Linked DNA regions of Oreochromis niloticus. The main gene of each other region encodes a partner of the protein of the gene in region 2 in a complex. Links are inferred from orthologs where the notes say so. Each region holds a gene or a part of one and is shown on either strand. Other genes may lie near its edges.

What was found.
Region 1: nup188 (region 2) and nup205 share a complex: the UniProt entries of both Homo sapiens proteins name them as parts of the nuclear pore complex. The link is inferred for Oreochromis niloticus from reciprocal best matches to the Homo sapiens genes NUP188 and NUP205.
Region 3: nup188 (region 2) and nup93 share a complex: the UniProt entries of both Homo sapiens proteins name them as parts of the nuclear pore complex. The link is inferred for Oreochromis niloticus from reciprocal best matches to the Homo sapiens genes NUP188 and NUP93.

Annotation. Positions count from the first base shown.
Region 1 is NC_031972.2:61,902,077-61,909,844, reverse strand, and holds the start of nup205 (nuclear pore complex protein Nup205), read left to right. Parts: upstream 1-4,674; 5' UTR 4,675-4,870; coding exon 4,871-4,898; intron 4,899-5,417; coding exon 5,418-5,560; intron 5,561-5,724; coding exon 5,725-5,896; intron 5,897-6,066; coding exon 6,067-6,211; intron 6,212-6,509; coding exon 6,510-6,669; intron 6,670-6,867; coding exon 6,868-7,096; intron 7,097-7,190; coding exon 7,191-7,355; intron 7,356-7,459; coding exon 7,460-7,635; intron 7,636-7,768. Other genes in the region: agk (acylglycerol kinase, mitochondrial), read right to left, coding at 3,057-3,126, 3,282-3,376, 3,497-3,622, 3,724-3,799, 3,889-3,968, 4,050-4,089, 4,173-4,282. UniProt on the Homo sapiens protein: Plays a role in the nuclear pore complex (NPC) assembly and/or maintenance. May anchor NUP62 and other nucleoporins, but not NUP153 and TPR, to the NPC.
Region 2 is NC_031972.2:16,372,780-16,380,410, forward strand, and holds the start of nup188 (nucleoporin NUP188 homolog), read left to right. Parts: upstream 1-4,598; 5' UTR 4,599-4,726; coding exon 4,727-4,752; intron 4,753-6,140; coding exon 6,141-6,195; intron 6,196-6,343; coding exon 6,344-6,417; intron 6,418-6,493; coding exon 6,494-6,578; intron 6,579-6,659; coding exon 6,660-6,740; intron 6,741-6,898; coding exon 6,899-6,943; intron 6,944-7,027; coding exon 7,028-7,120; intron 7,121-7,241; coding exon 7,242-7,361; intron 7,362-7,474; coding exon 7,475-7,631. Other genes in the region: dolk (dolichol kinase), read right to left, coding at 1,740-3,311. UniProt on the Homo sapiens protein: Component of the nuclear pore complex (NPC), a complex required for the trafficking across the nuclear envelope. Required for proper protein transport into the nucleus.
Region 3 is NC_031972.2:63,343,218-63,350,221, reverse strand, and holds the start of nup93 (nuclear pore complex protein Nup93), read left to right. Parts: upstream 1-4,002; 5' UTR 4,003-4,170; intron 4,171-5,007; 5' UTR 5,008-5,011; coding exon 5,012-5,190; intron 5,191-6,352; coding exon 6,353-6,470; intron 6,471-7,004. UniProt on the Homo sapiens protein: Plays a role in the nuclear pore complex (NPC) assembly and/or maintenance. May anchor nucleoporins, but not NUP153 and TPR, to the NPC. During renal development, regulates podocyte migration and proliferation through SMAD4 signaling.

The DNA.
Region 1 (7,768 bases), about 46 Mb from region 2:
CATGTTTAAATTCCCACTTTTATAGCACTGAGAATAGTTTCATCATTAAATATCAAGGGTAACAAAATGTATATGTAAAGTACTTTTTTAAAAATTATGCATTCAGCTTTGTATTTACTTCCTCACTTAGCTAGTTGTCAATTTATTTATGTATTTACTGATTTTTATTGTATTTTGTTTGTTTTATATTATATGTATTTGTTACTTTATATTCTAAGAGTCAAACACTCTCAGTTTGACTGAGTCTAGAATCAGAGTACCGCACATCTCTACTTTTAATTACAGAAACAGTCACTAACTTGCCATTGCATACTTTATTTACTTTATTGGGGTGGCCACTATTGACCATTTGCAGGAAAAGAGATGGGTATATGATTCTCTGCATTAGGAGCTGCACAATGTTGTCACATAACAAAACTGAAACATATTTTCTACCTGGGATTTGGTGTCGTGGGTCGAGCTGCTTAAAGTCATGTTTTTCCACCATGTAACCACGCCAGTAATTTCCATCCACTGTTTGCTCTTCCTATCACATGGCAGCGGTATGCAGTTGCGTCATCTGTTTACTTTTGGGTAGCACATCACCAGCTGCTAGTCTCTCCTCCTTCTTGACCTGGTTATACTCCACAGAGTTTCTTTGTTTGTTTTGATCTGTGCTTTTTTGGAGGTTGTTGAAGTATCTCCCTATTTACTGAACCCTACAGGGAGTGCAGAATTATTAGGCAAGTTGTATTTTTGAGGAATAATTTTATTATTGAACAACAACCATGTTCTCAATGAACCCAAAAAACTCATTAATATCAAAGCTGAATGTTTTTGGAAGTAGTTTTTAGTTTTAGCTATTTTAGGGGGATATCTGTGTGTGCAGGTGACTATTACTGTGCATAATTATTAGGCAACTTAACAAAAAACAAATATATACCCATTTCAATTTACCAGTGAAACCAATATAACATCTCCACATTCACAAATATACATTTCTGACATTCAAAAACAAAACAAAAACAAATCAGCGACCAATATAGCCACCTTTCTTTGCAAGGACACTCAAAAGCCTGCCATCCATGGATTCTGTCAGTGTTTTGATCTGTTCACCATCAACATTGCGTGCAGCAGCAACCACAGCCACCCAGACACTGTTCAGAGAGGTGTACTGTTTTCCCTCCTTGTAAATCTCACATTTGATGATGGACCACAGGTTCTCAATGGGGTTCAGATCAGGTGAACAAGGAGGCCATGTCATTAGTTTTTCTTCTTTTATACCCTTTCTTGCCAGCCACGCTGTGGAGTACTTGGACGCGTGTGATGGAGCATTGTCCTGCATGAAAATCATGTTTTTCTTGAAGGATGCAGACTTCTTCCTGTACCACTGCTTGAAGAAGGTGTCTTCCAGAAACTGGCAGTAGGACTGGGAGTTGAGCTTGACTCCATCCTCAACCCGAAAAGGCCCCACAAGCTCATCTTTGATGATACCAGCCCAAACCAGTACTCCACCTCCACCTTGCTGGCGTCTGAGTCGGACTGGAGCTCTCTGCCCTTTACCAATCCAGCCACGGGCCCATCCATCTGGCCCATCAAGACTCACTCTCATTTCATCAGTCCATAAAACCTTAGAAAAATCAGTCTTGAGATATTTCTTGGCCCAGTCTTGACGTTTCAGCTTGTGTGTCTTGTTCAGTGGTGGTCATCTTTCAGCCTTTCTTACCTTGGCCATGTCTCTGAGTATTGCACACCTTGTGCTTTTGGGCACTCCAGTGATGTTGCAGCTCTGAAATATGGCCAAACTGGTGGCAAGTGGCATCTTGGCAGCTGCACGCTTGACTTTTCTCAGTTCATGGGCAGTTATTTTGCGCCTTGGTTTTTCCACACGCTTCTTGCGACCCTGTTGACTATTTTGAATGAAACTCTTGATTGTTCGATGATCACGCTTCAGAAGCTTTGCAATTTAAGACTGCTGCATCCCTCTGCAAGATATCTCACTATTTTTGACTTTTCTGAGCCTGTCAAGTCCTTCGTTTGACCCATTTTGCCAAAGGAAAGGAAGTTGCCTAATAATTATGCACACCTGATATAGGGTGTTGATGTCATTAGACCACACCCCTTCTCATTACAGAGATGCACATCACCTAATATGCTTAATTGGTAGTAGGCTTTTGAGCCTATACAGCTTGGAGTAAGACAACATGCATGAAGAGGATGATGTGGACAAAATACTCATTTGCCTAATAATTCTGCACTCCCTGTAATTGAAAACTGAAATTCAGCGCTTGCTGTCAGATATGTCTTGCTTGTCTTTCAGTTGTGTGTGCTAGGAAACATAAACAGGTGTCACTGAGATGGGAAAGATACTGCAATATGACACTTTTATATCATGGAAAATGTATATTATCGCAGATGATATGATATGGCACAGCCCAAGTGCCAAGGATCCTGAAGCCTCTGGGAAGAACTTTTTTTTTTAATTACTACACACCTTGGACATGAAATAATTTGCATGGAGACCTGAATTTAAATTTGCTTATTTCTTCTGCTGAATTTAAAGTCATCAACATGGCAAAAGAGAATATTAAATATTAAGAAGAAAATTAAAAATAGTAGTTTATGTTTACGTTTAGCCCAACATGTATTCAAAATATGAAAAGAAAGTCAATGAATAAATAAGTTTGGGTGGTACAAAAGGAGAATAAATGAAAATCATCAAAATAAATGAATGTATATATTTTTAAACTGGAAAAATAATGTCACATTGGAAAATTAAAAAAAAAAAAAAATACTCACAAAAACCGATAAAACTCATTTTTTTTCTTGTAATTTTCTTTCATTATAATAAATATTCATATATGTTTTTAAAAATATCTATATTTTTTACCTAATGGCTTTTAAAATAAATATTAAATAACTTTGTAATTTTTAAAATGTGCTTTATGAATCCAGTTTACCGGCTTACTCACTTGTTTTAATATTGGCTGTTAAAAACAGCAAGATTTTTTAAAATAAGTACAGATTTAGTTTGTAACTTTAAGGCTGTGTAGAGCAATATATAAGCAGTTTCTCACTTTGATTTGGAGCACATCCAGCGGTACAGTTTCTCCCTTCAGTATTGACAGTGTTGCTGATGTGATGTCCCTGGAAAATGAATGACATTAAAAACATTCTAGTTAATGGAAGAAATCAGGAATTCTGTACTATATATTTGCTGAGTGACATGATAACAACCCAGTGAAGTTTGTCGTGGGAATATGTAATGATCTTTTTGTGTGTGATGCTGAAACATTACTTACTTGACCTTGTTGTCACTGAGGAGATGAAGACTTGGACTGAGGGAATTATGGGAGCCTAGTGGAATGAATCCAATTGGTGTCTTACTGAAGACGTCCTGTGGTCAGAAAACATCCACCAAAAGAAAGATTTAATTACTTAAAGTATCAGACCGAATACAGTTATTACAGACAGATGATGTCAGATTAACACAGCTACTATATTACATTACACCTACTTGGTCTGGCCTTCTCAGTAAACCTGTGATCACTTCCTGCAACGTGCCATCTCCTCCAGCCACGATCAGCATGTCTGTTTCTTCCATTAACTCGATCAGTTTTTTTGCCTGGCCTTCATAGTCTGTCTGTAGAGGGATATGTAATATCTAGATGTGATGTCATGCTCTGTGACACTCTCAGAGACACTATTACCTGATAAATATCCAATTGAAATAGAAAACATTACCTTGACTACTGTAATCTGCACACCAGCCAGGTGTAAAATAGGAGCAGCATTCTTTTCAAATAGGTTGTTGGCTTTCCTGGAGAAAATTAACACAGGAAGCTGTAAATATTCTGAGAAGAATTAAACAAGACTCTCAGAGAGATGTCTGGAGATTATGCGTCTTACCCGTTGCAAGCTGCAGGGTTCAAAATCACAGTTGCTTTCCTGATTCGCTCCTGTGGTGCTATCTGCTGCTGTCCATATTCCTAACACAAATGATGATGTTAAGGATAACTGTCACAAAGAGGAAACTTGTGTTTTGGGGTAATAATTTTGTGACACCTTACCCTGGCTAGTAGACACGCCTCTCTGCGCAGGACGCTGTCACTGATGAAATATTATACATAACATTTAGGACACGAAAACGGGAATTTGTGCACTCTGTCTCATTCATAGCATGAAATACCCACCAGTGTTTTCCATACAGCCAGTATCCACCGTAGGACAAGACACACACAGCAAATGTGCTTTTCTTCCAATGATTTCGCAAAGTCCGAAACACTTTCACGACTCGAGCCATGACTGTGATTAAACTGTTTTCAAAACCTCAATTTTAGCGCAGTGGTACAGATCATTAAACGTCATAAACGACACATTTTCATCACAGCGGTCACAGACTCACAGATATAAGACTAGCATGGACATTTTGGTGTACCGTCAAAACAGTTGGAAGCAAAACAGGAGCCTCAAACTCATGGTTCCGCTTGTGTTTTGTTTTTTTTCGGAACTATTTCTAGTTGCATATTTTTTTCAAGTATTGCTTTATATAAGTCTCCTAAAAATATTTTATTTTTTAATTATTTTTTTTTAAGTTTACAGATTGTAGATTTAATTAAATGCCTTAAACGCTTTAGCTTACAAGAACTACAATTCCCATAGTTGCTAATGGGGACGGGGCCATCATTCGGAGGACCCCGCCTGAAAAGAGCCCACATAACCATGAAATCTTCTAAGATATTTAATCTACTCAACTAACCAGCGAGGACATTAAATTAGGACTGATAGATTCGTTGTTCACTAAAAGTGACCAAAGCGTTACAGAATTGATTGTTTTAAATTTCACACCGGCACAAACCCAGAAGCTTCTGTCCAACTTAGTGAGCGTATCATGGCGGCGCAGATGGCGGTAAATTCGGGTAAGGGTGTATATTTTATTAAATAATTGGATTTTGTTTAGTTATTGCATCAAATCTCAACCTCTGTTATGCATAGAAGCGCAGATATATGCGCTTCTTGGCCGCAGATTTGTCGATTATGATATGTTTTGACCACATGTTGTTGGGTCTGTCAGGCTAACATAGCTTAGCCTTACCCATAGCAAATAGACGTTAAGTTAGTTGAGGTTAAATAACAAATTAGTTTTACTCATTTACACCGAACTAATTCCCACATTAAACCTGAAATAACAGGGAGGGATGACAAGACTTGTCTGATAGATCAGCCGACCGGCTTGAAATAAAATTGAAACTAACAACTCGGGGGAGGCAAAGAAGTGTCTGTACTATACTTCTGGAATCTTTTATAGTGCTGTGCAAAATGCCGCAGTGGTGTTAACAAGCATGGTTATAACAAATTAACTCGAAATGACTAGAAATTAGTTGTTTGCATACTTGTGTGACGGCCCAAGACATCTGAAAGCTTATTTACAACCTCAGGAGCCAGTCTGTGGGGGCCGCTGAAAGAGCTCTGGGAGACAGTGGACGGAGCTGTGTTAAGGAGACAGCCCGAGAGTGTTCACCTCCTAGACCTACAGCTGAAGAAACACAAACCTCACTTTCTGTCACTTTTTAAGAACCCGGTAAGATGGCATGAATGGGTAATTTAAAACACTGTCATTTCTCACACATGCAGGTCACGGGTGGTTTTTTGTTTTGTTTTTTTTCCCCAATGTGTAGCTTGTAGTTACAGTCTGTCCTCCGAGACTCTGATATTAACAGCGTCTTGTCTTCTCTTCATTTTTAGCCAAAAAGTGCAGAGCAAAGAGAGAAAGTGCGTAAAGCCAGCACAGAAGGCATCGCCATCCAAGGTCAGCAGGGGTCACGGCTCCTTCCAGAACAGCTTCTGACAGAGGCTTTCATCCTCAGTGATCTCTTTGACATTGGAGAGTTGGCAGCTTTGGAGCTTCTCTTGGCAGGTAACATGAAGGAAAAAAATCCCCAACTTTATCCAGCATAATTATTTCCATTTCATCTTATAGGTAAAGTGTCACTGTAGTTAATTGTGTAGCAGGTTGTAGTGTATGGACTGTCCTGATCAAACACTGAGATTGAGCTCTGTTTCTTTTATGTAATCATCTCTCTCCAGGTGAACAGCAGCAGCCCTATTTTCCAGGACTGACACGAGGCCTAGTGGCCGTGTTACTTTACTGGGATGGAAAACTTTGTATGGCCAACTCTCTGCGCACGCTCATTCAGTCACGACAGGGAAAGACCTTCACCCTGGATCTTAGGTAATAACGGTGTCTAAAAGTAGTACAATGAAACATTGATAAATGCTGTTAAAGTCCCGTATGAGGAAGGTGTTTTTGTCCTGCTTGTATTTTTTTGGTAACCATTGCCCTTGATGTGAATGTGTAAAAATTGTGTATGTTTCTGTTCTGTGTCCTGTGTACTTTTTGTTTGTATATGTGTCTTTCTTGCTGCTGTTACATCCAAATTTCCCCTTGTGGGACAATTAAAGGATTATTCTATTCTGTTCTATTCTATTTGAATCTTATGTTTGACAATGTTATTTGTTTTCTCCTTCAGTGGAGAGCTGGTGGCTCTGACAACACGATTTACAGATGAGCTCATGAGCCAAGGTCTGACCAAACGCATCCTAACTTTGGTGTCAGAGATAAGCGTGACGCGTGAGTTTGAACGACTGCAGAAAGAACGCGGATTGGGCAACGAAAAGCACAGGAAGGAGGTGTGAAGTAATCTTTTGTATAAATTTTAACCAAAGATATAAATCTTCAAATTGCTTTGTTTTGTTTTTCCAGTGTTAAAGGAACAATGCAATGCCACTAATTTTCTCAACACAGCTCAAATAGAAACACAGAGTGTAGGAATGCAGAGTGGATTATGGAAAATGGGGATTACATGCAGTTTCTGCATCTGTCACCAGGTTGCAGACCTCATCAAGGAATGCCGACAGGCGCTTGCAGACAGCCTGTTTTCATGGACCTGCCAATCACCCCTGTCAAAAGATGACACTCTGGCACTCATTGGCCACCTGGAGACAGTTACAGCTCAGGCTGATGGCTCACTGGACAGTGTTAGCCTGGCTCTGGTTATGGCACTGCTCTACTGCTTGGATGTCAGTTTTATAGAGCAGGGGACTGAAGATAGAGATGGTAAGTTCGTGTTGATGGTTTTGGTTTTCTTTCTTTTTTTCCTGTTGAAATCACTGATTCCAAAAATCAACTGCCTGCATGTGTTTTCCTCCAGATTTGCTCCAGGCACTTCCATTGCTGACAGAAAGGCAGTATGTGTCTGCAGTGCACAGTCGCCTGATGGACAGCCAACCATGGAAGCTTCCGGGGCTGCAGGCCGTGTGTCGACTGGCGTGGGCTCTGTCGCTGAGAGTCCTTTCCCAGCTGCCACAGGGCTCTGGTAAGTACTGCATTCCTTGAGTCTCCATTAAAAATCACCTTCTGATTCTTACGTTTTCTGAGATAACAGCCATTTCATGTTATTGTATGTGCATTTTTGTGCAGCACTGGTTGAGTTCACTGAGGCAGATGAGGCTCTGGCTGATCAGGCTCTCCTGGGCGATGTCTTCTTGTTTATGAAAGAGGGCATGCTGGGATGTGAGAGTTTTTCCCAGGAAGAGTTTTACATCCGCCGCGTCCATTCACTCATCACAGACTTTCTGGCTCTTATGCCAATGAAGGTAAGAGATGCTGCAGGTGCGTGCTTTTAACTTAAGACTGACATGTAAAACTATAATATGGTTTTTAACTTATCAGGTTCAACATTCTGTAATTATCACGTTTCATTTATTTATTTATTTTTGCGTCTTAATT
Region 2 (7,631 bases):
TAATTATAAATTTGCTGGAAAAGTGTTTTAAATTGTGGCTGAAAAAAAAATTTAAATAAACATTTTTTTTGATCAAGTCTCCATGGAGATTTCACTGTGCAACTGACATTTCCACCCACCTTTATTAAGCATTTCCTCATCAGCATTGTCAACAGCTTTATTCTTGTGCAAGATCTTTTTAAATGATTTGTGCCCAAATAAGACAATGAATTCCTCCATTTACAGACAACAGCGAGCATCTCTGCTTTCAAGTATGTTCATTTTAAGACCTAACTTAAAATGAAAAAGACAAAGCTTTATGTACGTGTAATTATCAAGCGCAGCATTCAAACTTCTTGTGTTAGTGTCACAAATCAAAGTGAAAAAGCAAAAGGATAATCTTTGTGTTGTTAAAGTACAGTCGCTCACAAAGGTCCTACATCTCAATCCTCAAAAAACCAAACAAACAAACCAAAATCCCCCCAAAACAAAAAAAGCTTTGTTTGTTCTCAGATGTTCTGAAACATGCAATACTAAATTTTTCTTTCAAAATGTAAGAATGTTGGAAAAAGAAACACACCAGCAGGATCAGGCTAATAAACATTATCACAACATTAAAACAAACAAACAAACAAAAAAGAAACACTTCAGAACTTTTACAGATGAACTGAAACCAGCTCCATTTCCTTATCTACAAATGAAGAGATCAAACCCAATAAAAATTAGAGTATATTGCTATAAAGCATATAAAACAATAATTTAGAAGTAAATCTTGCTGTAAAAGTTGCCAAAACGTAAAGGCCTGTGTGCATGGGTGTGGCCCAAAAGCATATCTACAAAGCCCCAAAAAACAAAACACTAAAGGCTCAGTATTACAAGGAAATGTAGATATTGAAGGGGTGCAGGGTCCCATTAAACCACAAACTGCTAAGCAAAGTTGATTTATCTGACAAAAATATATGCGGTAGGATAACCGGCATACACGTTACAGTACTGCATTATCACATCAGTCTCATGCAGGAGCATAGTGTGTTTCTACCATATATAAGTATAAATCAGCCCTTTAAATAAGAGTTGAAATGGGCTGCCATGCTAGCGTGTACAGCTTCTACTATGGTAGGTTGTGTGTGATAGAAAATATACTTCTTAAGGCAAGTATTTTCAGAAGAAACTTCTTCATATTGCCATCAGGGAGGCAAAAATAATAGCCTAGACGTGAGAAAGTTGATTAAAAGACATATCAATAAGATAACTTTAAATTATGTTCTTCGAAAGGCAATACAAGGCATGTATCTGTTAATGAAACAAAAACGACAGGACATTTGTGTATTTCTTGCCGATTATAAAAACGTGTCCAGGATTTCTATTTAAGAAACACTTTTTTTCTCCTCCACACTCTGCTAAACTGAGTCTCCTGTTGCATAATTTAGGAGCTGTTGGTGTCAGTGGCAGAGAAAACATACGCCACCTCTGTCGCGAGGTTCAGACTTGATCTAAAATGTTCCATTGGTCATTGCAAAGGATACTGAAAATGATCTAAAGACAACAGACTGTCATGCCAACACTGTCGCATGTAAAGGTTTGTCGATACCCTGGTCGGTTAATTTGACTGCTTTCGATCGCCTTGTGCTAGTCAAAAATAACTACAGTTTGTGATCATGTCCACAGACTACGAAAGACAGCTTTTTTTGTCCCAAGTTCACCACCAGAAATGGCTGAGAAACAGGCAGTGGATCTGCTTGTTTGTATGATCGGTCCATTCAAAGTAACAGGAGGATGAAGAGGTAGAGTGGGAGCAGCAGGTTGTCTATTTGGGAGGTGTAGGCTTCCAACATGGCCACCAGAGTGATGGAGCCAACAATCCATGAGTAGGTGGTGTTCAGATTGATGCTGCTGTCAAAGATGAGAAACATGGCCACGGCGATGATCTGGGCGAACACAGATGTCGCGGTCCCCTCTAAGGTTTTCTTGGTGCCAGGCCAATGGATCTCCCCCATGGTACTGCCGAACACAGAGGCCACAGTGTCTCCAACTCCCACCGCGAGCACACCTGCGTAGGGCACCAGGCCACCCGCCCCTGGAAGTATCCCCTTAGGGGCACAGGGTCCAGGAAACAGCCAAATGGGCAAAGACATCCCCAGCAGCAGGTAAATGTGGGTGAGGATGAGAGGCCCAGAGTCCCGCTCGTCCAGGAACAGAGTGAGCAACTGCCTGAGCAGCTGACCGACAGGCCTGATTCGAAAGTAACGCACATACTCCAAGAACAAGAAAACCGCCAGGCAACCCACAGATGCCACGTGGAGCAGCTGCCTGTCGTAGATCAACCCTGGAATGTAGGTAGCCACTACAATCAGATGGAAATACTTCCTGACGATGGTCGACGCCTGGTGCTTCTTGGAACCCGACTGGCGCTGATAGTTCTGATGTACCACAACGCAACTGGCCACGACAGACAGAAACACCCAGTACGCCAGCAGGCAGAGTCTCCTGTCATTCAGCGTGATGAAGTCCAACAACCACATGAGGGGGTGGCGACCGATGAACAAGGACAGCCAGGGCATCAAGATCCCCAGACCCAGAACGGCTGTCATCATGTGAAAGAAGAGTGATGACCCCCAGCTCTCAGACTCCATGAAACAAAAGAGCAGGGCGAAGAAAACGCCCAGCAGCAACGAGCCCACCACTAACACCGGGAGGAAATAGTTCACCGGGTCACCTTTGACCTCCGCCAGGTTCAGGGAGCGCTTGATGAGTTGGTTCACGATGAAGCTGATCCCACCGACAATGAGGAGTGCCTCTCCGGGTGTGAAGCAGCGCGGCAGCAGATAAAGCACAATCAGGCTGAGATAGACAAAGATCAGCAGCACCTCCAAGACCTCTATGACCTCAGACACAGTCAGGGTCTGCTTTGTGGTGTAGAGAATTGCGCTGCCGGCCATTCCTGCAATCACACAAGTGTTGGTGGGAACAGGTCTTGTGATGCCCAGTGCAATCAGGGAGAGGAAAAGGGCTAGCATCATGCCTGTGATGGTGATCACCATGGAGAAGCGCTCAAAGTAGACATTCCCTGAGGCAGAGCACTTTTCTCTCAGTGCCAGGCCCAACAAAGGCATTACCATAGAGGCCGGAACAATGCCGCTGTTCGCTGAGGGGCGAAACTGGAACACAGCACCCCCAGACCTGAGCAGACGGTCCCATTTATGCTGCACGTAGAAAGCCTGGATCACCAGGGCTATGCTGCACCAGGAGTGCTGGTTCCAGACCGCCATGTGGACACATAGTACCACTGCCAAAACTACAGTGGACTCCACGTGCACCGGGTTGATTTGCATGGCTGGAGGGTGGGCGCTCACAGAGAGGGAGGAGGGTTGATCTGAACAGATGGTGTGCAGCAATGAAGGCCTTCTTCTGTCACTTCCTCTCTCTTACAGGCTTCATCATTTGGAAGGTAACTTTCCCTTGCTATGGATGTCCGAAGAAAAAGGGGAAAAAAGTTAGCATTTAAGAGAAAAAAATACAGATCACAACAAACATAATAATGTGTACAAATTACAGATTCAAATGCTACTGTACTGAATTCTGAGTCTTTTCTTGCTTATTCTAACTCTGAACCTTGGTCATGCTTTATCTGCTTCCTGCCATGAACTATGACCACACTGAACATTCACCCCATCAGTGAGAAATTCACACAGCTCAGACAGCACGAGTAAAAGGTCACACATGAAACACATGTTCTTTCCACATCAGCTGCAACCTTTTGTTCCTGTGGGGGTCGGAGTTTGAGCTGTCTGTGTAGTGTGAGTTCTGGGTCAGCGAGGCTATGCTTAACAAATGGTTATGAAAGCTGAAGGATACATTAGGGAAAGAAAATCAAAACAATAAAACTCCAGTTTATTTCATTCATTCATACAGCCCAATGAGGCCAGATAATTCTCCCTACACCGAAGAACGCGTCTGTCTGGCAGCCGAGGATGCTTTAACCTCTGACGGCATCAAGCTAACGGCAGACTAACAAGCTCACTGTACAGAGCTAGCAAAGCGCCACACAGCAGTAACTACTGGCAGCACTGACGCACAATACAGGCTGACAAAGACAAGCGTACATACCATACAAGCGCAGCGTTGTTTGAGCGGACGTGTGCAGTGAATCGCTATGAATCGCTGCCGTCCTTTCTGGACAGATTTGTTTCCTTTGTCAGCTGTCGGTCCTCTCACACCCAGTAGGAGGGGGCCATCTTTGACAGCCGGGTCACGTGGTACACTAAAAAAAGTATCTCTTAAAGGCGTTGTTTTAAATTTACTTTTTAACCTTAAATTTGTGAAATAATTATATTACCATAAAGCACATACTTTAAATAAATACATAAAAATATTTATGTATTTATTTTGTTCAAATTCAGACTTCTCAGGCTACTTTATACATGTAATACGTGAATAATTATTTGTTAATAATAATAATTACCCGTAAGTCCAGAGGATGTCTTTGATACATGATATACTGAATTATGAAGTTAGGGGGAGACACAGAAGTTTTGCCAAAATATGGTATAAATATTTTCGAAAAGGTATGGAGACGATAGGGATGTGTTTATTTTACTCCAGAGGATGGCGCTAAAGTTGAACTCAGGACACCCGCTGCTTCACGAAGAAGAACAAGGCTCCCACCCGTTGCCTCCGACGGTAACGAAGGCGCTTTCGACGTCGCTGACGAGCCAGCACAACAACCAATCACAGAGCAGACGCGAAGATGGCGGAGTCGGAGATGAGCGTCAGGTAGGCACATAGCAACTTACTTTAGCTAAAGTGTGCGTTGTTTGAGTTATTTTTGGAGCGTTTACCAGTGGGTATCGTTTCTACACAGCGTTTCTGTTTACTAAATCAGACCAGCAGTGATGTGTATATTTCACTCTTTGCGTTTGAGCAGTTAGCACCACGCTCACTTAGCTTAGCAAGTACTAGCCGCTAAAGATTTGAATGGCTTTTCAGTAGCGCGGTGTGCCAGCCGCATGTCAACAACAGCATACCGCCACTGCAAACTGTTTACATTAGATATTGTATTAACGGCGCTGGTTTATTTACAGACACCGTACTTACAGCGAGATAAATTGCCTCTCCGTTACATTCAGTAACCGCTGGGCTTGCTTAGTTGGTGTTAATTGAGAAGCTAACTCTGCTGTTTTGATACGGACAGGAAAACAGCTGAGTTAGGTTTAAAATCTTTAAACTTGACCTCCAAAAGAAACTAAACAGAGTTTGACTTGACAACAAATCGCAAAAGCCTATCCATCTCTTTAAGTACAAATAAACTAATTTAGTTTTAGGGAACGCTGATGAAGGGCTATCATTGAACAGGAGTATTTAAAACATATCCATGAATATCATAATAACAAGACAACAGACTCATATTGAGGACCACAACAAATTTTTATGTGTGCAAACATGTATTGAGCTTTAAAGTACCGGTAACATCTCCAGTCTGGTCAAAAAGTATGCTGACATGGACAGAATTTTTATGTTTTTTTGTACCTAACCACAGTAGATGTAAAATAAATAACTAAAATGTCATCAAACTGCACACTTTGAGTTTTAATTTTGCATAAGGTTTACCAAAAAAGTTGCATTAACTGTGTAGGAATTACAGAGATTGCTTTAGTCTGTCCATTTTCACACACTCTAAACTAACATGATTGGAAATATAAAGATAATTGTTATTTTTAATGCTTCTATGCAAATCTTTCTGGACCCTATGGACATACTGAGTTTCCTATCCTTTTTTTTTTCTTTCCACAAAAAGTGAGTCATGTATGAAAATGGGGGAAGTGTTTATAGTTTTGGGAAGTAGGTCTGTCCTTTTGTTTGATGGCATCAGGGCAAGTTTGTTTTGCTTTGTTCAGTTTCTTTCAAACATGTAACCAATTCATACAAAGTAATTTTTTTTAAATTGAACGAAAATAAAATAAAACAGGGTACAATATTGCTACACATTTGCTGATTTAGTTTACATATTTGAAAAAGGGTGGACAGAAGTGCACACTTATTAAATCCCACACCTTCATCCCTCTTTAGTTAATAGGCTCAGTTCTAATGTAGCAAACTGTAAAAAATTTTAATGCATTAATCCCAATCGTTGCTTTTCTAAAATAAACCAATTTGTTTCCCAGGAGCTGTAGGGAATTATGGACCATATTGCTGGGGAGGTCTGCGTTGAGAGAGCCGGTATGTCCTTGTTGCAGAAAAGTGTCCAGCGCATAACAAGTGTGCTGGACACTTTACTGCTCCAAAAAATAGCTAGTTGTAATTTTTTCATTTTTAAAGGTAATAAAACAATCACAGTGATTTTTCTGTCTGTTATTATTGGTCACAGGCTCAGATAGAGGCAGAGCTCGACAGACACTGGGATAGACTCCATCAAGGACTTAGTTACTACAAGCCGCCCAGGTATAGTTACAGTTATTTTCACATCAAATGTACTGTTAATAACCAAAAAGGTAACTGCAAGCATCACCTGTTACAGCTCATCCTCTGCTGAGAAAGTAAAAGAGAACAAAAATGTTGCACAGCCCCTGAAGGACTTTGGTCTAAGGATCAGTAAATTATTGGTGAGACTTCAAAATATCAGTCAAGAATGATTTCCAGTCTTTATTTTGTAGTGTGTATTTAATGATGATTTCATGTTACAGAGTCTTGATGAACAGCAGAGTGTTCAGCTTTTGCAATGCTACCTACAGGAGGACTACAGAGGAACCCGTGACTCATTAAAGGTATCTGTCCTGACAGATATTTTCATTGTGGAATCTGTCTGAACTTGTAGTTTTCAGTGAAACTGAGATTTGCCGTTGCATTACAGGAACAAAAATTGTAAGACCGTAAAAAGATGTTGTGAAAGATGTTTAGATGTTAAATTAATCTTTTGTTGTAGGTTGTACTCAAGGATGAGCGGCAAAGCCAGGCACTACTGCTTAAGGTCAGTACATGGATCTTCTGCTTTTCTTGACTCAGCACATGTTGAGTTCAGTAAGTATTACAGCCTCTGTGTTTGTTTTTGCAGATAGCAGACTATTACTATGAGGAACGCATGTGTTTGCTCAGATGTGTCCTTCTCCTACTCACATACTTTCAGGATGAGCGACATCCCTACAGGGTGAGAAGCTCCAGTCTTAGCATTACTCACTAAATTGTGGAACACAGCTTTTAAAAAACTAATTGTGCTTGGGATTGTTGTTGCTTTAGCAATGTAACCTTAGTTATGTTATGTTGTTTAGGCTGAGTACAGTAACTGTGTAAATAAGCTGGAGAAGGACCTGGTGAGCAAATACCAGTTGCAGTTTGAGAGTCTCTTCAAGGCAGAGGCACCAACATGGGAAACTCACGGAAACCTCATGGTGATGACACAAATTTGGTTTGCGTTGGCTTATTATTCTTTCTATTGTGAGGTAGCTGTGGGAGATATTTTCTTGTTAAGGATGCAAAATAATGTAAATATTATTTTTTTCAGACGGAGAGGCAGGTGTCAAGATGGTTCCTGCAGTGTCTGAGAGAACAGTCTTTGCTGCTCGAGATCATCTTTCTGTATTATGCTTACTTTGAGATGAACCCATCTGACCTTCTGAACTTCACCAAGATGTTCAAAGAGCAAGGCTTCGGTTTGCGGC
Region 3 (7,004 bases), about 47 Mb from region 2:
CCTCGCACCCCGGCGCGTCGAGCCAAGCCCAACACCTAAAACCAGCGCTTCCGATCTGATGTCACATTGATGGAATTCATGCATTTAACCACCAGCTAAATTTCATCTCATTCAACCATTATTATAGTCGTCCCACTAGGTGGCGCTCTAACCATTACTGACAAATGGCATAACAAACATTTCCGAGCTCGAGTCTCATCACGCCTGCGACCTTTGGAGAGATTGGACATTGTGTTTTTGAGCGACAGCAGGTTACTGCTTTTTGGCGAGGATTGAAACTCCACGTGCCGCCATGACCACCCCGTTTCCCTGAACGTAAAAAGCTTCGCAATTTAACATCACAAAGGTCTTTAGATTCCACACACAGGAGATCGCGTAATCTAATGAAATCCCTTGGAGGAGTTCGTCAAAGTATGAGGCCTGAAAAGAGGGGAAAATGTCGCCAAATTTACACATTAATTTAAAATGGCTGACTTCCTGTTGGATTTGGGATATTGCTCCAAGAGACTTTTTTGTACATCTTGATATCTCCAATAAGCTTGCCAGGTTTCAAACTCATACATAAAACACAGAGCAGGGGCTGTTGTTTTGAAATTTTGTAGGGGCGCTGTGGAGCCATTTTGCGCTGTTCAAGGAAATGAACATATAAAAGAAATCCCTCATCACATTAGAGGTGTGCGCCAAATTTCAAGACTTTTTAAACTTTTCAAGCCCCTCAAAAGCCACTTCATCTTTCATGGTGAACTGCATTGCCACCAGGGTGCGCCGTTCAGTTTATAGTCACAATTTTCTCACTGAAGCATAAGAGGGACTGATGGTGATATTCACCGCTTTTGAGGTGGCCACGATGAACCTGTGAAAACCAGTACAACAAAATGAAAGACATGACATTTCCTGGTGCCACTAGGTGGCGCTCTACGTATTCCTGACAATGGGCATATCAATCTGTTCAGGGCGGGTCTGACATCATCCCTGTAAAATCTGGTACTGATCAGATTGGATTTCATTGAGTTACACTAATTTGTTTCTTCATGGCGAGACCTCAATGTTCGCCATGCTGCTGGGGTCACACCCTTCAGCGAAAACTCACAGTTTTCTCTGTAACCCAAGACCAACTCCTTAAGGCTTTCCTGGAGAAATTTGAGGCTGCAGATGTCACCCATTACAATACTGTACCCCAAAGTGTAAAACATGACATTTCCTGTTCCCACTAGGTGGCGCTGTCCCTGATGTCAAATATGGCAGTTGAAATATGTTCAGGGGTGGAGCCTTATCATATGTGTCCACTTTGGTCAAGGTCGGACAATGTATGACAGAACGAGAGGCAATAAGATTTTCATGGCGAGTCATCGAAATTCGCCGTGGCGCCACGGCCTCACAGTAACCCGAAAACTCAAAAGCTCCGCAATTTAACATGGCCCAGGTGTGTAGTTGACACTGACCAAATATGAAGCTTGTATGATGAAATTCCAATGAGGAGTTCGCAAAAGTTCGAGGCATGGAAATGGCAAAATTAGAGCCAAAATGTCACCTTCACTTCCAAATGGCGGACTTCCTGTTGGGTTTAGGACATGGCCATAATAGACTTTTTTGTGCGTCTCCGAACGTTAGATATGTGTTCCGAGTTTTATACATGTAGGTCATACCCATCTCGGGGGCTCGCGTTTCTCATTTTTCTAGGTGGCGCTACTGAGCCAATTTTCCCTGGACATGTCTACAGACATTAAAATACGTAAATTTTCACCAGACCTGACGAGTGTGCAAAATTTCATGAGTTTTTGAGCATGTTTAGGCCCTCAAAAGGCCGATTCATTTGCCGAAATAATAATAATTAAAGCTGCAAGCAGCGTTATGAGGGCCCTCGCACCCCGGCACGTCGGGCCACGCCCAACACCTACAACCAGCACGTCCGATCTGATGTCACATTGATGGAATTCATGCCTAGAACCACCAGCTAACGATTCATCTCATTCAATCATTATTATAGTCGTCCCACTAGGTGGCGCTCTAACCATTACTGACAAATGGGATAACAAACATTTCCGACCTTGAGTCTCATCACGCCTGCGAACTTTGGGAGAGATTGGACATTGTGTTTTTGAGTGACAGCAGATTACTGCTTTTTGGCAAGGGATTGAAACTCCAAGTGCCGCCATGGCCACCCCGTTTCCCTGAACGTAAAAACCTTCGCAATTTAACATCACAAAGGTCTTTAGATTCCACACACAGGAGATCGGGTTAATCTGATGAAATCCCTTGGAGGAGTTCGTCAAAGTATGAGGCCTGAAAAGAGGCGAAAAAGTGGCTAAAATTACACCTTAATTTTAAAATGGCTGACTTCCTGTTGGATTTGGGATATTGCTCCAAGAGACTTGTTTGTACATCTTGATATCCTCCATAAGCTTACCAGGTTTCAGACTTATAAATAAAACACAGAGCAGGGGCTGATGTTTTGAAATTTTGTAGGGGGCGCTGTGGAGCCATTTTGCATTATTCAAGGAAACTGATCACATAACAACAAAGCCCTCATCACATTGGAGGTTTGGGCCAAATTCCAAGACTTTTTAAAATTTCCAAGCCCCTCAAAAGCCACTTCGTCTTTCATGGTGAACCGCGTTGCCACCAGGGTGCGCCGTTCAGTTTAAAGTCACAATTTTCGCACAGAAGCATCATGAAGGACTGATGGTGATACTCACCGCTTTTGAGGTGGCCACGATGAACCTGTGAAAATCAGTACAACAAAATGAAAGACATGACATTTCCTGGTGCCACTAGGTGGCGCTCTACGTATTCCTGACAATGGGCATATCAATCTGTTCAGGGCGGGTCTGACATCATCCCTGTAAAATCTGGTACTGATCAGATTGGATTTCATTGAGTTACACTAATTTGTTTCTTCATGGCGAGACCTCAATGTTCGCCATGCTGCTGGGGTCACACCCTTCAGCGAAAACTCACAGTTTTCTCTGGAACCCAAGACCAACTCCTTAAGGCTTTCCTGGAGAAATTTGAGGCTGCAGATGTCACCCATTACAATACTGTACCCCAAAGTGTAAAACATGACATTTCCTGTTCCCACTAGGTGGCGCTGTACCTGATGTCAAATATGGCAGTTGAAATATGTTCAGGGTTGGAGCCTTATCATATGTGTCCACTTTGGTCAAGGTCGGACAATGTATGACAGAACGAGAGGCAATAAGATTTTCATGGCGAGTCATCGAAATTCGCCGTGGCGCCACGGCGTCACCGTATCCCGAAAACTCAAAAGCTCCGCAATTTAACATGGCCCAGGTGTGTAGTTGACACTGACCAAATATGAAGCTTGTACGATGAAATTCCAATGAGGAGTTCGCAAAAGTTCGAGGCATGGAAATGGCAAAATTAGAGCCAAAATGTCACCTTCACTTCTAAATTGCGGACTTCCTGTTGGGTTTGCGTCACATGTAGTCACAGACTTTTTTGTTTGTCTCGGCATGATACACATGTGTGCCACATTTCATAGATGTAGCCCAAACGATGTGGTCGTAAGGCTGCATTTAACAGCGCATAGGTGGCGCTCTAGAGCCATTTCCCAGTGCTCCTATGTAAAACCATTAAAATACAAAATTTTTCACCAGACCTGGCATGTGTGCAAAATTTCAAGAGTTTTCGAGCATGTTAAAGCCCTCAAAAAGGCCCTTGTTTTGCCTGAATAATAATAATAATAATAATAATAATAAGAAACGGAGCAGATACAATAGGGCCTTCGCACTCTCGGTGCTCGGGCCCTAATAATAATAAGAAGAAGAAGAAGAAGAAGAAACAGAGCAGATACAATAGGGCCTTCGCACTCGAAGTGCTCGGGCCCTAATAATAATAACAATGATAATACACAGAGCAGATACAATAGTGCCTTCGCACCTTTAGTGCTCGGGCCCTAAAAAACCCCAATTATGACAGTAGGTGACGATATGCTTCGTTAATATTAGTTTGTTCGTTATTGAAACTGGAGAAGAAGAAGAACTTCCGGGAGGGACGCAGGACTGTCCAATCACGATCGACTCCAGAAGTGCCGGTCGGGGCAAATAATGTACTTGCATGCTGAAGAAACGGAGTAACAGAAAATAACTGTCAATACATTCACTCGTGGAGTATAAACAGGACCGTATTTTCTCCCACCTCACACAACAGGTATGAAGTGTGGTTGCTTCCAGCCGCGTTAGCAAAATGAACTTTTTGAGTTAACGCAACACTAAGAATATGTAAGAATAATAGCAGCTTAGCATGCTAGCTAACGCTGCACAGTGTAATTCATTCTGACTTGTAGCTACATGTTAGCATGCTAACGAAGCTTAGCCAAAAGGGCAGCACTGCAATAAAATAAAATGAATTCAAACGTGTTTTTATCGTGATTCACATCACGCCACTTCACAGCAGCCGGAATTAAATTTCATTTGAAACTGCATTTTTGTTGCTATTCCTAAAGCGAGTTTATAGCAGCTAAGCTAACACCACAGCGCTCCATGCGCGCGCTCCAGCTGTCAACTTTCCGAAAGCTCACACAGCTGTATGTCGTTATGTACATGGGTGTTTATGTTATTCACAGTTTGTATGTTATCGACTAGCCCTAGTCCTAAACGTGTTGTTGTTGTTGTTGTTGTTGTGGCAGTTCTCAGCTATATTACGTCTTAGACGTTTACGTGCTCACTTTACGTTTACTTCTGAATTTGTGTAAATCTCCGTCCACGCAGTTGAGGAATTGCAGTACATTTTAACCCAGTCCCTTCTTCTAAGAATTGAAAATGAACAACAAAAAATACATACAAAACCTTAGTCAGTGAGGTACAATGTTGATTAGGAATCTAAAATAACAGCAGCATATTTATGTAAAATTATCCAGGCCAATTATACATTTTTTTCCAAAAAGGATGTGAGCACCCTAAAATTATAGCTCCCCAAACCACTGTACACTATTCATCTCACCTCTGATGATGTTACATGTAAATATCTTCATTTGTTTCTCTATAGCAGCATGGATACAGAGGGATTTGGGGAGCTCTTGCAGCAGGCAGAGCAGCTGGCTGCTGAGACCGAAGCAGTGTCTGAACTTCCTCATGTGGAAAGGAACCTTCAGGAGATCCAGCAGGCGGGGGAGAGGCTTCGATCTCGCACACTGACCCGCACCTCCCAAGATGCTGCAGACGTAAAAGCGTAAGAAATATAAGAGAACTGTATTATTTTTCCTGAGGGAAATTCTTGTGGTTTCTATTATTGCACAGTGCAGTAAGAGTGGAAACAAAAACACTTAGTAGTCACAGAGTAAAACCAGCAAACAACAAAATAAAGCTGAACTATAAAATAACAAGATACAACCAAGAACAGTATGAAATAAGAACTTCAGCATGTGCAGATAGGCAGAAAATGTCCCACTGTTAATCATAATATTACTGCTACTGGCAAAAATGGTAATTGATAACAGATAATAAGTTACCAGTGTCACAGGACATGAAACATAGAGCATAGACAAACAGGACAAGTTCAAATAAAAAGTATAGATTGGGGGTGAGGGTACTGGGAGTGTGATTAACCACATACTGATCGTGGTCATGTCATATAAGGACGAGGAGTGCAAATAGCAATAGTAATATTAAATAATAATAAGAATGTCATCTACGATAACTGTAATAGCGATCCTCGTGTTTGTTTGTTTATATCTCCATCCATTCCATATAAACTCCCACATATACATACATGTGCCAATGCATACACAAGCAACTGGGGGGCAAAAAACAAATGAATGGTTAACTATGTGTATAAAGTTGTATAGTAAACAGTCACACAAGGCATTTTTAAAGATCAACATGAAAAAAGAGCCCCAAGAGCCTGGGAAGAGTTCCTTTTTATGTATAGTAGTAAGAGTCCTAATAATAATAATAGGATTCATAATAACAGACTCATGTGTATCTGAAAGGTGTGATGTAGTATATCTTACTGCAAAATTCTCATGTAAATAAAATGTATAAAATCATTTTTCATTTGTTTCCCATTAACCTCTATGATAGACGCACTCATTTATAAACTACATGTTTGGTTTTAAAGATTTAAAGAATATATTCCTTAATCAATAAGCTTGAGTGATATTTAAAGGATTTAGTCTATTTATTTTAAAACTGCATTGATATTAGATTGAAATTCTCTCTGTGATGTATGTGATGACATACATGATCTGCTGTGTAATAGTTCATATCAGTGCGTACAGTGTAAAGATCGTTTCTGTAACGGTGGTAAAGCGTTCGGCGTCCTCTAGTGGTCGTGTGGAGCAACTACAGTTATTTATCAGTCACTCCTTCATCACCTTTCTGTTTCACCTCAGGTCCATCCTCCTTGGTTCCAGAGGTTTAGACATCTTCCACATTTCTCAGAGGCTAGAAAGTCTCAGCGCTGCCACCACGTTTGAGCCCCTGGAGCCGGTCAAAGACACGGACATACAGGTATCATAAACTAGCTGCTAGCTAGCTGCTAATGCAGTATTATTTAACCTAAATGAACTGGTTCACTAGAGGAAGACTCGCTTACTACTGAGAGCACTGAGAGGTATTTTGTGGAGTGAAATAAGAAATAATCCATTGATAGATGGTAAGAAACTAGTACCTAGTCTTTTAATAAGCGTGTGCATATTTCACTTTCTCACAGAGAAACTGCATTTAGAAGTGAGGATTAAATTTGTTTTGTGGCTAAGGTCTGAAAGTAATTAACTGTAGATAATAAGTCTGCATTTGTCCCCACTGACAAGATAAGCCTGATAAAAACTGAGCAAGTGTGAAGTTTGTTAGTTAAAGGCTGAAAATGTTGAAATTTATAACTGGAGGCTGAACAGAACAAAGATTCAAGAGATAACAGAAATAAGTACACAAAGCCAACGAGTTAATTATTCCAGTGGAAAATTGGGTTTGCTGTGTGACCCACAGGCTCTGTTTTTGTGGACAGTCAAGAAAAATGACATTCATGGAAAATCTTATTGGTTT